Linked DNA regions of Notamacropus eugenii. The protein of the gene in region 2 purifies or fractionates together with the protein of the main gene of each other region. This does not show direct contact. Links are inferred from orthologs where the notes say so. Each region holds a gene or a part of one and is shown on either strand. Other genes may lie near its edges.

What was found.
Region 1: the proteins of BAG2 (region 2) and MLF2 purify together in Homo sapiens (affinity purification with mass spectrometry; 4 studies listed by BioGRID and IntAct, with this or other methods). This does not show direct contact. The link is inferred for Notamacropus eugenii from reciprocal best matches to the Homo sapiens genes BAG2 and MLF2.

The regions. Positions count from the first base shown.
Region 1 is NC_092874.1:195,041,947-195,049,443, reverse strand, and holds the start of MLF2 (myeloid leukemia factor 2), read left to right. Parts: upstream 1-4,246; 5' UTR 4,247-4,557; intron 4,558-5,250; 5' UTR 5,251-5,278; coding exon 5,279-5,328; intron 5,329-5,563; coding exon 5,564-5,693; intron 5,694-5,925; coding exon 5,926-5,961; intron 5,962-6,705; coding exon 6,706-6,759; intron 6,760-7,126; coding exon 7,127-7,255; intron 7,256-7,467; coding exon 7,468-7,497.
Region 2 is NC_092873.1:125,380,857-125,388,076, forward strand, and holds the start of BAG2 (BAG family molecular chaperone regulator 2), read left to right. Parts: upstream 1-4,038; 5' UTR 4,039-4,082; coding exon 4,083-4,286; intron 4,287-4,502; coding exon 4,503-4,636; intron 4,637-7,220. UniProt on the Homo sapiens protein: Co-chaperone for HSP70 and HSC70 chaperone proteins. Acts as a nucleotide-exchange factor (NEF) promoting the release of ADP from the HSP70 and HSC70 proteins thereby triggering client/substrate protein release.

The DNA of each region.
Region 1 (7,497 bases), on a different chromosome or scaffold from region 2:
GGTTCTGCTCACTTCACTGTGTATCAGTTCATGTAAGTCACCCAGTTTTTCTGAAGTCTACTTGCTCATCATTTCTTTTTTTAAATTATTTTATTTGTTTTCAGTGTTCTGCAATCACTTCCATATAACTTAGATTTTCCCCCCTCCTTCCTCCCCTTTTCCCCTACCTTCCCCCTCCCTCCCTGAAACAGCATACAATTTTATACATACATTCCTATTTATTTATTCCTATATATTTACACATACATTCCTATTAAATGCATTTTCACCTTAGTCATGTTGCATAGAAGAATTAAAATGAATGGGAGAAATCATAAAACAAACCCGAACATACAAAAGAAAATGATCTGCTACATTCTACAATTGAATTCCATAGTTCTTTCTCTGGATGTGGAAGAGATTTTGTCTTAAGAGACTATTAAGAATTTTTTAAGTCCTTGCATTGCAATGAAGTTCTAAGTCTACCAGAAAAAATCCTCATACACTGTAGCTGTTGTTGTGTACAAAGTTCTCCTGGTTCTGCTCCTTTCACTCAGCATCAGTTCATTTAAGTCTTTCCAGGCCTCTCTGAAGTCTTCCTGTTCATCATTTTGTACAGCACAATAGTATTCCATTACATTCATATACCACAATTTATTCAGCCATTCCCCAGTTGATGGGCATCCCCTTGATTTCTAGGTTTTGGCCACCACAAAGAGTGCTGCTATAAATATTTTTGAACATGTGGGACCCTTTCCCATTTTTATGATCTCTTGGGGATACAGTCCTAAAAGCAATATTGCTGGGTCAAAGGGTATGCACATTTTTGTAGTCCTTTGAGCATAGTTCCAAATTGCTCTCCAGAATGGTTGGATCAGCTTACAGCTCCACCAACAATGGATTAGTGTTCCAACTCTCCCACATCTTTTCCAACATTTATCATCATCCTGTTTTGTCATGTTAGCCAGTCTGATAGGTGTGATATGGTATCTCAGAGTTGTTTTAATTTGCATCTCTCTAATCAATAGTGATTTAGAGCATTTTTTCATATGATTATAGATAGCTTTAATTTCTTCCTCTGAAAACTGCCTGTTCATATCCTTTAACCATTTATCAATTGGGGAATGACTTGTATTCTTGTACATTTAACTCAGTTCTCTACATATTTTAGAAATGCGGCCTTTATCACAGACACTAGTTTAAAAAATTCTTTCCCAGTTTTCTTCTTCCCTCCTAATCTTGGTTGCTTTGGGTTTGTTTGTGCAAAAACTTTTCAATTTAATGTAATCAAAATTATCCATTTTTACTTCATAATGTTTTCTACCTCTTGTTTAATCAAAAATTCTTCCCTTCTCCATATATCTGATAAACACCCTATTCCTTGCTCCACTAATCTGTAGTATCATTCTTTATACTTAGATCATGTACCCATTTGGACTTTATTCTTGTGTACACTGTCAGGTATTGGTCTATGCCTAGTTTCCACCACACTGTTATCCTGTTTTCCCAGCAATTTTTGTCAAACAGTGAGTTCTTATCCCAGAAGCTGGGGTCCTAGGGTTTATCAAACAGTAGACTGCTATATTCATTGACTACTGTGTCTTGAGTATCTAACCTATTCCACTGGTCTACCCTTCTTTTTCTTAGTCAGTACCAAGTGGTTTTGATAATTGCTGCTTCATAATACAATTTGAGATCTGGTAGCACTAGGCCACCTTCCCAAGCATTTCTTTTCATTAGTCCCTTTGCTATTCTGGGCCTTTTGCTCTTCCAGATGAATTTTGATATTATTTTTTTCTAGTTCTACAAAATAATTATCTGATAGTTTGATTGGTATGGCACTAAATAAGTAAATTAATTTAGGTAGAATTGTCATTTTTATTATTTGCTCATCATTTCTTATGGAACAATAGAATTCCACCACATTTGTATACTATAACTTCTTCAGCCATTCCTCAATTGATTCCACACAATTTCAAATTCTTGGCTACCACAAAAAGAGCTGTTATAAATATTTTTGTACATGTGGGTTCTTTTCCCATGTTAATGATCTCTTTGGGATATAGACCTAGAAGTTGTATTGCTGGGTCAAAGGGCATGCAGTTTTATAGCCCTTTGGGCATAGTTCCAAATTGCTCTCCAGAATGGTTGATCAGTTCACAACTCCACAAATAACTCATTAGTATTCTAATTTTCCCACATCTTCCCCAACATTTATCATTTTCTTGTTCTGTCATGTTAGTCAATCTAATAGCTCTTCAGTTCTTAACCTAGAGGTTCACACTTCATAAAGAGATCAAAATTATGAACCATCTCATTTACACATTTAACCACATCGTTGCCTTTAGGTTGATTGTGTCACATTAATTGACCACATACTGCCCAACTAGACTCTAAGTTCCTGGAGGTCTTATCTAAACTTTTTATCTTCACCCCTTCCCTGACTACCAAAATTGTTTCACATTTGTTGAAGGAAGGGAGGAAATTTAAGGTTAAGAGAGCAGGAAAGAGAAAATTTGGAGGTCAGGAGTACCACAGAGCTGGTGGACTGCTGCATCTGCAGGGTGAGCACAGATTTTTGCAGTTTTTTCCCTTTTATTATCAATAAAGTTTCATTTCCTTTTATTCTTACTGCCTATGAGGCTTTCTGTTTCTGCTATTATTTCCCGCCTTCTCAGTTTTTCCCACCTATTAAAATGGAAATCTCCAAAAGAAGTTTTCACTAGCATTTTCCCCGATTCAGTAATATACTCCTTTCTCCGGCATTCTACGCCCCCCCCCCAAAAAGAGGGGGTATAATGCCAACTGTCCTTTTCCTCAGGGTTTGATTGTTCCAACCAGATGAAGGATCAGGTAAAAAGAGTCAGGGAGGTGAGAGTTTGTATATGTTTTGTGTAAAGTTCAATCTAAATTGGGCAAACCCCCGGAGGGGAACAGGCAGGCTGACCCAAGAACCAGAATATCCAAGGTCGACCTGAGGACACCTGCGTGCTCAGCTCAGCTCTGGCCCAGGTTGGGGGGGGGCGCGGTTGGAGGGTCCGGAAGTCGTTTCTGCTCTGAAATCCAGCTTCCCCTCCTCCAAAATAATCTGGGAATGAGCCCTTTGGCTACTGCACTGTCCGCCACGACCCCTTCTGTCCTGGCTCCTCTTAGGGGCAAACGCCTGCGAGCTGGGACACGGGCCGGGAAGGAGAAGAGCGCCCATCTGGAGGGTTCTGATCCCCAGGCTTCTCCCTTTACAGAGGGGGTCACTGGGGTACCCCCCACCCCCGCAGACGTCCAGTGAGAGGACAGAGCCCTCCAGTGGCCAGTCCCTGGGCTGAGGCGGGCTCAGGGTTCAGTGCCTCGAGCTGAGCTCCCCACTCATTGCAGCAAAACGAGTCTCCGTCCTTACACTGCCCGGCTCGCCTCTGCCTGGGCCTGCGCGGACCTGGCCCCGGCCCCGGCCCCGGCTGCCCCGGCCCCGGCCCCTTCTCCCCCGGCTCCCCCGGACCCTGCTCCCCCTCCTCTCTCAGACACCTGCCCATCCCTCTTCCTCCGATTCCCCTATAGGAAACCTCCCCCACACTCACAACAAACCCGCTCCTGCCTCCTCCTCCTCCTCCTCCTCCTCCTCCTCCTCCTCCTCCTCCTCCTCCTCCTCCTCCCCCTCCTCCTCCTCCTCCTCCCCCTCCTCCTCCTCCTCCCCCTCCCCCTCCCCCTCCCCCTCCTCCTCCCCCTCCTCCTCCCCCTCCCCCTCCTCCTCCTCCTCCCCCTCCTCCTCCTCCTCCTCCTCCTCCTCCTCCTCTCCATAGGAAACCCGTCCATCCTCTTTTAGAAATCTCCCCTCCCTCTCCATCCTACCCCGCCCCGCTATAAGAAACCTCCCTCCACATGGGGCATCTCCCCCTCTCCTCATAGGAAGCCTGCCCTCCCTACTTCGGCCCTATAGAAAACGTGCCCCTCCCTTCTCGTCTAGATAGTCCCCCCATACCTGCCCCTCTTTTACCAGAAATCTGTCCTCCCTTTTAGAAAACTTGCCCCCTCCCCTTGGTCTTCCTCTTCCTCCCCCCATAGGAAATCTACCATCCTCGGCATCATCCCCCCGCCCCCACCTCCCTCCTTCTTCCAGGGATCACCCCAAGAGACCCCAGTCATTTCCTAAGTGTGCGGGAGAAGAGGCACCGCCAAAGGGAAGCAAATACAGGCCAACCCCTGCGGGGCACCTCCCCTGGCCGGGTCGGCTGTCAGGGAAAGCCCAGAGGGGCGGGGGCGGGGAGAGAGGACTGGGGCGGTGACGTCACTTCCGCCTGGGCCTGGCAGTGGCTGAGCCTGGCTGTGCTCGGCGGCAGCAGTAGCAACCGCGGCGGCAGCGGGAGGAGGACGAGGAGGAGGAGGAGGAGGCGGAGGAGGAGAGAAGGAGGGAAGGAGGGAAGGAAGGAAGGATCGTCGGGCCTCCCCAGCCGCCTCAGCGCGCCCCGGGCCCAGCGGAGCACCCAGCCAGGGCCGCGGCTCCGCGGGCCTGCGCCACGCACAGGATCGGGCCCGGCCGGATGGGCGCCTGAGCCTCGGGCCCCCAGCGCCCTGGATCGGGGCCCGGTGAGGGTCGCGGCGGGGGCGGACGCGGGGCAGCCGGGCCCCCCTGGGCGTGCGAGGCCGGACCTGAGCGCCGGGAGGGGAGAGGGCCGGGCGGGGGAGGGGCAGGGCTGGCCTGGGCTCCGAGTGGGGAAGGGGCCGGGAGCCGGGACGGACCCATCGGCCGCCGGGGTGCCAGGTTAAGGCTGTGGGGGCCTGGAGTGGGGAGGAGGCAGGGCAGGGTGTGGAGAGGAAACCAAGTGGCCGGGGCAGTTAATGGAGCGAGGGCCCTGATGTCGGGGGAGGGACGGACAAAAGGAGGGGGCTGCCAGCCCGGACAGCAGGAAAGAGTGGCTGGCCTGGAGGGGCCGGACAAAAGGAGCAGATATGGTGGTATTTATTTTAAAATATTACTGTCCAGCACTGAGAGGAAGGGAAGTTGGGGAGCCGCTTGCACTCCCATATTGGATTATGTGGGCATCTGGAGGAAAGAGGCTTCCCTTCAGTCTGCATTATGGTGGGCATCTTGAGAGGGCTTTCCAGTGTTTGCATTATGCTGGGCATCTCAGGAGAGAGCCCTTCCTCCTATGTGCGGGGTGGGGAGCAACCGTACTGTGAGAGCCATTGCACTGGAGGCCCCCTCCTGAAGGTAAGGTGAATCTGCTTCCCTGCTGGCCTCTTACCCCTGTTTCCCATCTCCTTTCCTCACCCCTCTAGTTCAGAGCTCCCGGAAGCTGAGAGCAGGATGTTCCGGTTCATGAGGGACGGAGAGCCTGAGGATCCTATGTTCCTCATGTGAGTCTCCCCCCCTCACCCACAGACCAGGACATTTCCAAGCCCCAGCCCGGGAGAAGCTGGGAGACTCTCTTTTGGGGAGTCAGAACATTGGGTTTTAGTGTTTGCTCTGGACTGCAAGGCAAACACCTTCTCTCTTTGCCTTCCTTTCTTTGTGTTTTAATTTGAGAAGGAAGGAACCCAGTCATGGGGCTTGTGGCCTTCCTGACATGATGCCTTTTGTACTTTTACGCAGGGACCCTTTCGCTATTCACCGACAGCACATGAGTCGGATGTTGTCAGGAGGCTTCGGTTACAGCCCTTTCCTTAGCATCACAGATGGGAGCATCCCAGGGGCTCGACCTGCTGCTAGTCGAAGGATGCAGGTAACAGGGCAACATGTTTAAGACTCTGCCAGGCCTTGGGATTGGGAAGGAACTTGAGGAAAAATCCCTGCCCTTGCCTCATGGGGGCAGGGGCGCCAAATTCCTCATGCTTAAACAGAGAATGGGAATAAACTTGGGGAGGTGGGCCTAACCTAGATTTATAGGAAAGGAGAGGAGGTCGCAGTGGGGGAGGTATATTTTCTAATTCTACTCCTTGTCCATGCATCTGTAGGCTGGAGCTGTCTCACCCTTTGGGATGCTGGGAATGGTAAGTCCTCATTCCCCCATATCTTCCTATCCTTTGTTCTTTATTCCCTTTCAGTACTGTTTTCAGATCTATCCCTTTAAGGAGTCTTTAGGAGTGATTGTAGTGGTGTCTCCTTGTCTTCTCCCCCCTTTCATATTATTGAGTGTTCACAAAGCTTTAAGCCTACAGTGTTACATATTTGTTAACTGTGCCCCCATGTCCAGAATCTCTAGAAAGGGAACTCTTTTTCTTTCCCTTTTTTTATGAGTTCCTATTTTGTTGTTATGTGTGTGTGTTGGGGAGCAGTTAGTATTGGTTCTTGATAGGTTAAAAATCCACTGACTCTAGGTTGAGTTGTTAGAGGAAAGGGAAGGTAGGGAAGCCAGGAAATGGAGAAGAATGAAGCCAGAGGAGGAGGAGAAGAGGTCAGTGTTGTTTTAGCCAGTTTGGATAGGGAGATTCAGGGTGTGGATAAAAGGATTTAGAGTTGGAAGGGACCCAGATTTTCTCAGTCACAAAAACCCCAAAGTCAAACAGGTATTCGTTGTAAGGCTAAGATTTGAACTCGCGTCCTCTGACTCCAAATCTAGTGCTTTTTCCATAAACCACACTGCCTCCCAAGAGGTCTTAGAGCAGATGACCAGGTGTGAGGGGGAGAGGAAAGAGATAGCATTATAAAGGTCCCAAGCCAGTCTTGAGATTGGAGAAGAAACCTGGAGTATATTGATTTGTCCTGAGCCTTTTCTTCTAACTCTCTTTCCCTAGACAGGTGGTTTCATGGACATGTTTGGGATGATGAATGATATGATCGGGAATGTGGTAAGCCTTTTGCCCCTAGTCTTTTTAACCTTTTGACCTTAAATGACAGCCTCATCCCGAGGATTCCTCTTTTTCTATAAAAGAACTCACTAAAAAGTTAGACCCTTGAATTCTGGGTTGGAAGTTGGCATTTACATGAAGACATGAGATCAGGTGCCTGCTCAAAAAGCTTGCTCAAGGTAGACATTTCACATTAGGCATCCAGTTTAGAGCAGAATTCCTTCAATTGCATCAAGGTCACTTGTGAATTCTCACAGTACTACAATAGAGACAAAGTTAAAAACAAGCTGAGATGCTGAGACTCTCTGGTGAGGGTGGGATCCCCTCCCTCACCAACTACTTCAGCTCCAGCCTCCCTCTTCTTCAGGAGCACATGACAACTGGAGCCAACTGTCAGACCTTTTCATCCTCCACTGTCATCTCCTACTCCAACCTGGGTGATGGTGCTCCCAAAGTCTACCAAGAAACATCTGAGATGCGCTCAGCACCAGGTGGGGTAAGTGCTGTGGGGAGGTTGTAGAGCAACTCTGAATTCACAGTGTTGGACTGGCTCCCGCCGCTCTCCAAGCAAGTGGTGCTCGATGTCATGCAGAAGAACACTAGGGTGTTTATCAGAATTGTCTGAGGGAAATTTTGACCACAGGAGCTGTCAGTAGAAATTTGGGTGCAAGGTAGCTAGATATGACAAGCTCTCTGTCCTTTTTTCAGATCCGGGAGACAAGGAGAACTGTGAGGGAC
Region 2 (7,220 bases):
GGTTCTCTTTAGCCCCTGGTAGCCAAAACGGGAGCAATAGGCAGGAAATTTCAGAGACAAATTTTTCCTTGATGTCAAAAAAAAAAAAAGTTCCTAACAGCAGAGCTTATCTGCTCTGCCTCAAGAGGTGGACAGTTCCCCCTCCTTGGAGGTCTTCAATTAGAGGGTGGATGATCACTTGTCAGGTATATTTTAGTGGAGATTCCTTTTGAATATGAGTTGGATTCAAGCATGTGCTGGATCCAGTTGGCTCTTCAAAGCCAATTGTTAAATTTTTAGTGGGAGCGTTTTCACCTCAGAAATCTGCAAATTCTTCAAATCAGAGCTTGATTTATTATTTTGTTGATTGTCAAGATTTATGAAAGTGATGGAGAAATTGTTAATAATGCAGATTAAACTTTAAAATGTGATCTCCATATATTTTTTCTTCCGGTAGCCAGTTGTTAAATATTTACCAGGGCATTCCTAGTTGGACTGGAATAGATAGCTGCTAACTACATATGACTACAACAAAGTAAACAGAACACAACAAGAAAAAATTAAAACTGAATGTTATGTGATTATAATGATCAAATGGTACAAAAGAAGAGATATGAAAATGCACACACACGTACACACACCCTTCTTTACAAAAATTGAAGGTTAAGGTTATGGAGTATCACATACAGTTGGACTAAAGTGATCTATTGGTTAATTATGTTGAACTTTTTTTTATTCTTTGTTAAAAAGAATGGTTCTCTGGGTGAAAAAAAGGGAGGGATATTAGGAGATGAAGGTGATACAAAAAGAAAAGTTATCAATAAAGTTTTTTTTTTTTACAGCAAAACAACTAAACCTTTCACACTCTTTGGCCCAACAATCACACTTTTGGGAATATACTCTCACAGAATCGAAAGGCAGAAATGAAATTTCAATATGTAACAAAATATTCATAGCAAAATTCTTTGGTAGCCAAGAACTAGAAACAAAATGGGTCTTCTTAGACTGTTAAGTAGCTAAGATAACAACAATTCTAAGTCATATGAGTACAATGGAAAATTATTGTACAGTAAGAAATGATGACTGAAGAATTCAGAGAAAAATGGGAAAACTTGTAAGAACTGAAACAGAACAAAATATGCAGAACCTACAAAAATGCAAATCAACCAATAATTAAAAAGAAGCTGAACTTTGAGCAAGAGAAAAGCCACTGAAGGTACCAGAGAAGATATAATGAATTATACGTCCTCACTGTAGAGAAATAGGGGACCACTAGGAAAGAATAGGATATGCGATGCCAGAAAGAGGTCTCTACAAGAGGTTTTTGATTATTTTTCTTTTGTACAAGGGAAGGTTCAATATAGAAGGAGTATGAGAAATGGCTAATGTAATGACAAAAGGCATAAGTAAAATGTATATTAAAATATAAGAATAAAAAAATAATAGATTGAGGAAAAGGATCATGGTCAACATAACAGATTAAAAACAATACCTAAATTTTATAAATTTATAAAACTGTTAAAATTCAATATCTAGTGAATAATCAATGGGAATAAGATGATTTTTAAGAGGAAATACAAATGGTAAGTAATCACTTAATGTTTAATCTCACTAATAAAAAAATACACTCCAACAATTTTGAGGTACCATCCCAATCTCAAACTGACAAAGTAACAATACAAGACTGGTTCAACTGTGTAGAGAAGTATATTCATACGTTACTGATGGAATTTCAAATGTTGATACTTCAGCCTCTTGAGAAGTAATCCAGCATTATGCCATGGGAGTTATTAAAAAAATCACATTCTGATTTAATATTCTCTTTATTGGGAAAACAGAATATTATCAAAAAGAAAAGTGAGCTGTTAGTTCAAATACATCTATTGCAGCATTATTTATAATTGTGAAAATTGACAAAAATCTAAATGTCAAAGGGGAAATGATTTAATAGATTGCTATGTCAATGTAATATAATGCATCATGCAATTAAAATGAGTAAGTCTGAAGAATACAAATATAGAAAGATGAAATAATGTGTAAGTTAAGAACAGTATATACTTAGATTATATATAACCAAAAAATGTATAAAGAGAAATAATAAAGAATAGATAAAAGGGACAATAAGAAGGAAAAGGAATTGGCATTTACATGGTGCCTATAGTGTCTCAAGTATCGTGCTAAGTACTTTAACAAATATCTCATTTGATCTTCACAACAATCCTTCAAAGCAGGTACTATTATTATCCCCATTTTACAGTAGAGAAAACTGAGGCAAACAGTGATTAAGTGACTTGCTCAAGGTCATATAGTTAGTAATTATCTGAAGTTGGATTTCCATTCAGATCTGTTCTGACTCCAGGCCAGAGCTCTATCCACTGTATCACCAAACTGCCTCCAAAGGGCATACATGTATTCTTAACAAAACCAGGTGGGCCACAGGGAGAAACTGGTGTGGACATTTTGTTTGTTGAACGGTATTTTTTTTTTTTTGGCATTAATGGTCATAAAACTACGTTTTAATTGATTCTGTTGATATTTGAGGTTAAGTTCATAATAAATAATGAAAAAAAGGAAAGGGCCAATATGCGAAGCTTTTGTTTCATTAAGCAGAGAAACTTCTATGGCTAGTCCATAGGCTATCTGAATTTTGTTGAGATAACATGACACATTGTTGGATATTCGAGACAAGTCCTAAGGCATCTCCATTAAACTATGTTAGCTACAACACTTATTTGTATTATTTTTCTTATTAGGAAGAATTAGTAATTAAAATTACTTCAGTGAGAATGAATGGAACTGAAGCAGATCCTCAATACTGAAGTTTACAAAACCAGTGGATTAAGGGAACCTTAGAGAGTTTTTCATATTTCCCCCCTCTTTTCACTCCCACCCTTCTCAGGGCCCCAGGCCTGATATTCTGGCACCAGTGTTCACCTCTGGGAATTAGAGAACAGAAAAATTCCAGTGGCAGGTAAGTTGTAATCAAGTCAGTAGCCTTTATTAAGGGCTTTACACCATTCTAGTCAGGGCAGTTAGGTGGCTCATCGGAGAGAGTTTGTGACATAGAGGAGTCAGGTAGACTCCCGTTTCTGAGTTCCAATAAGGCCTCCGACACTAACTAGTTGCATGACCCTACGTAAGTCACTTGATCCTTTTTGCCTCGGTTTCTTATCTTTAAAATGAGCTGAAGAATTCATTTTAATTCTTCCATGCAACATGACTAAGGTGAAAATGTATTTAATAAGAATGTATGTGTAGAACCTATATAAGATTGTCTCCTGGAGAGAGAAAGGAGGGGGAAGGTGGAAAAGGGAGGGGGAAAAAGCTAAGATATATATGGAAGGGATTGTAGAAAACTGAGAACAAATTAATTAATAAAAAAATAAAATAAAATGAACTGGAGAAGGACATGGCAAACCACTCAAGTATCTTTGCTAGAAAACCCCAAATGGGTTCACAAAGAGTCAGACATGACTGAACAACTTGTTCTGGTCACTGTGCTAAACGTTGGGGATGCAAAGAAAACCACCAACACGCCCTCTGCTAGCAAGGAGCTCACATTCTAGCCGGGGTGACCACATACAACTTTTTTCATTCCAGATGGACAGTGGAGCCTGAGAAAGGCCTTCTGGGGTAGGCGGGATGGGAGCTGAGTTCTAAAGGAAGCCGGGAAGCACAGGTGAGAAGTGGAGGTTCCGAGTATTGGGGAGAGGGGAGTGGAGAGAAGGGGATGGGGCAGCTAACGAAAATAGACAATACAGTATTGTTTTGGAAATATTTCTAGCCTTTTACTGCCATCGCTTCACGCCTTTTTCCCAGCCTTAAGTCAGATAATATAAGATGAAATTATCTTTTCCTTGTTATTGATTTAGGAGCACTTAAGGGTCCTATACGATTATTTAACTCTTTAAACTTCCGATGGGTCTCAGATCTCCTCCCTTTGGGGAGTTAGTTTCGTGAAGACTCTGGAAGCATGGGGAACTGACTGTCCGAGGTGCTTAAGTTCATGCCACAGCTCTGAGTGGCTTATTTAAATCTTTGGTCTTTCCAACAGCCCTGTTACATTTCCCCTTGAACCCCAGACAGCCCCGAAGGTGATTTCCATGGAGTTTTCACGCGAGGAGAACAGCCCCCTGAATTCAGCCCACTGCCATGCCCACTGGAAGGAGACCATCCCAGCTTGGCAGCTGTCACGTCCTCCCACCTCCTTGGCTGGCCCCTGGGCCTCCCACCCGTGCCCTTCCCAGGGGCAGGCACGCTGCCTCCTCCCCCACGCAGAACCCCGCGGGGCCGGCTGGGGTATGGAGGTGAGTGGCGGAGGGGGCGGGGGGCACCGGCCGGCCGGGCTCCGTGTCCTTCTTTGGCCATGTTGCCCGCGGCCTCTCATTGTAGGCGTCAGAGGGAGGAGGTGTCCGGAGCTGCCACTAGCGCGCGGCTGCCCGGGGGGGCAGGAGGGAGGGAGGAGGACAGCAGGGAGGTGGCACCACCGCAGTCGCGTAATCCCTTCCTCCTCCTTCCTGCAGCCACCGCTGCCGAGCTGCCCCATGGCTCAGGCGAAGATCAACGCGAAAGCCAACGAGGGCAGGTTCTGCCGCTCCTCCTCCATGGCCGACCGCTCCAGCCGCCTGCTCGAGAGCCTGGACCAGCTGGAGCTCAGGTGAGCCGGCCGGGGGGGCCCGCGTGCCCACGGCTCCCGTCCCGTGCCCGCGCTGCCCGCTGGCCGCCCCGGAGCCCCCCGGGCCGGAGCTGGAGCCAGCCTGCCCCCGTGGCAGGGGGCGGTTTGGGGGACGCTGGCACCTTTAGAGAGAGGGCACACTTTGGGGAAGGAGAGAGAGACGGGGTGGGGGCCGGAGGAGAACCAAGTGGAGCATCTCTGGCACTGTTTTGCCCTTTGGGGGTCCATCTCCATAATGGGGCGGTGTGGCGTAGTGAATAGAGAGCCGACTTCCAGGGCAGCAAGACTTGGGTTCGAGTCCTGCCCCTGAAGCACTTGCGACCCGTACAGTCTTGGTGCGTGTTGCCCCCGCCGTTAGAACGTGTGTTCCTTTAGGGCAGGAACCATGTAGATTTTTGTCTTTTTGCCATTCTGTGTATCCTCGGCGCTTAGCACAGTGCCTGGCACGAAATAAGCGCCTGATAAGTCCAAGCTTGCTGACCGACTCCCAGAAATCCCCCAGCCTCATTGCTTTATGCAGCTCACTAAGACTATTTCGCCACATTCGTGAAATCAGATTGGTCAGGAACCGAAACTGAGGTTTGCAACAGTGGGATCTCTTGGTGTGGAAATGTTACCCCTGCTGCCCCATTCCCTCATGAAGACATACAACTCAGGTACTCAAGAGGGGCACTGAGAGATAAAATGGTTTTTGTCTGTGGATTTAAACCCAGATTTTCCGGGCTCCAAGGCCAACCCTGTATCTTGTATGCTACTGTCTTGGTGAAATGCTTATGCCAGATAAAATCTGGGTAACTTCATTGTTTGAGCATTCTTTAGGGTGGTTTGGCCACTTTTACAGTCCCATTCCCATGATCCTTTTGGACATCTGAATGTGGTATTTAGAAAAAAAAACAGATGGCAAAATCTACTGTGACATCATCTGACTGATTATAGGTTTCAACATCTGATTTTGAAGTGCTCTTTTAATGTCTTTTATATTCACTTGGTTGCTGCTCTTTCTTCTTTAGTGGAGTTTATACATAGTCACTGATACAGGGTGTCCCAAAAGTTTTAGGGCAGTTGTAATCTTTTTAAGAGCTTAGCACTGCTCTAAATTTTTGTAACACCCTGTAGATTGGTCACTAAAGGTTTATTCACTCCAAAGAGAAGGTTATCCAAAAAAGCATGTTGAGTAGCTTCCACTGGGACTAGTTAACAATGTGTGGAGAGAATAAACTGATTAATGCTACTTTTCTCATGCTAGCGTAGCACCACTTTGTACTATTTGGGCCTTTTATTCATAATCTGCCATTCTGGCCTGCTGTTGTAGAGTTATTCACAAGGGTTTGATGTTTGTGTGTCTGTTTACTTTTCTAGTGACTGTAGCCTTCTCTAACACTTAGGAATAGATTTGTACAAAAATTTTAAACTGTTAGCTAGTAACAGTGTTTTCTATAAGAAAATAATGTATATTTATCATAATGTCCTTGGTGATTTTTTTTAAGCTTTTATGGCATAAACTTTAATCATAAGCAGTTATAGCTAAACTAAAATTCCTTTAATATATATTTACTTTTTATTTATAAAACAAGATAAAGTATACATAAAATGCTGTGCAGATCTTAAAGTACTAAAAATGTAAGCTATTTTTAAAGCAACAGTAACATTTGCATAGCAGTGTGCAAGGTTTGCAAAACACTTTGCATACATTATGTTATTTGATTCTCACAATTATCCTGTAAAGTAGGTGCTATTATTATTCCCTTTACAGATGTGGAAACTGAGGCAGAGTGAGGCTGACTTGGCCAGGGTCATATAACTAATATCTGAGGCAGGATTTGAAACTAGGTCTTCCTTCTTGCAGCTGAGCCGCACAGCAGATAGAAATGCTGGGCCTGGAATCAGGAAGACCTGACTTCAAATTTGTGCTGACACTATCCACTTTTGTAGCCCTGGGCAAATCTCTATAGTGGCTTCAGTTTTATGCTGTAAAATGAAAATATTAATAGCGCTTACCTTGCTGGGGTACTTAGCACTGTGCCTGACATGCAGTAGGTGCTACATAAATGTTTATCCCCTTCCTGACTCCAAAGTCCAACACCATCCGTTGTGCCATTGAGCTGCCTACTATGTAGCAAGGGATAAATCCTTCATTTATAAAAAGATGTATAGGATTAATGAATATGTTCTCCTAGAAACTGAGGCTTGTGGCATTGTTAACCTAAGTACCAATGAGCCAGAAAGGGAGAGGAACCGATTTTCTATTCTCAATTTTAATGGCAATGGCAGAAACTACTATTTCTAGGTCTTTACCTTTCTTCCATCTTTGCTCAGGATAAAACCCAGGAGGAATTGAAAATTCATGAGAATGAACACAATAAATATAGGCTTAGTTAACAGCTTTCTACTGGAGGTTCTACAAAATGGGCAATCCTGATTCTGATAATTGACCTTTGAAATAAGATAAAAAACCAGAGTTCTTCTAACTTGGTCTCCTCATTTTCTGTCAGTAGAATTATATGCTGAGCTGTAACTAGACTGAGACCACCATTTCTTGGTATTAAAATTTAGAGGGTATTGTCAA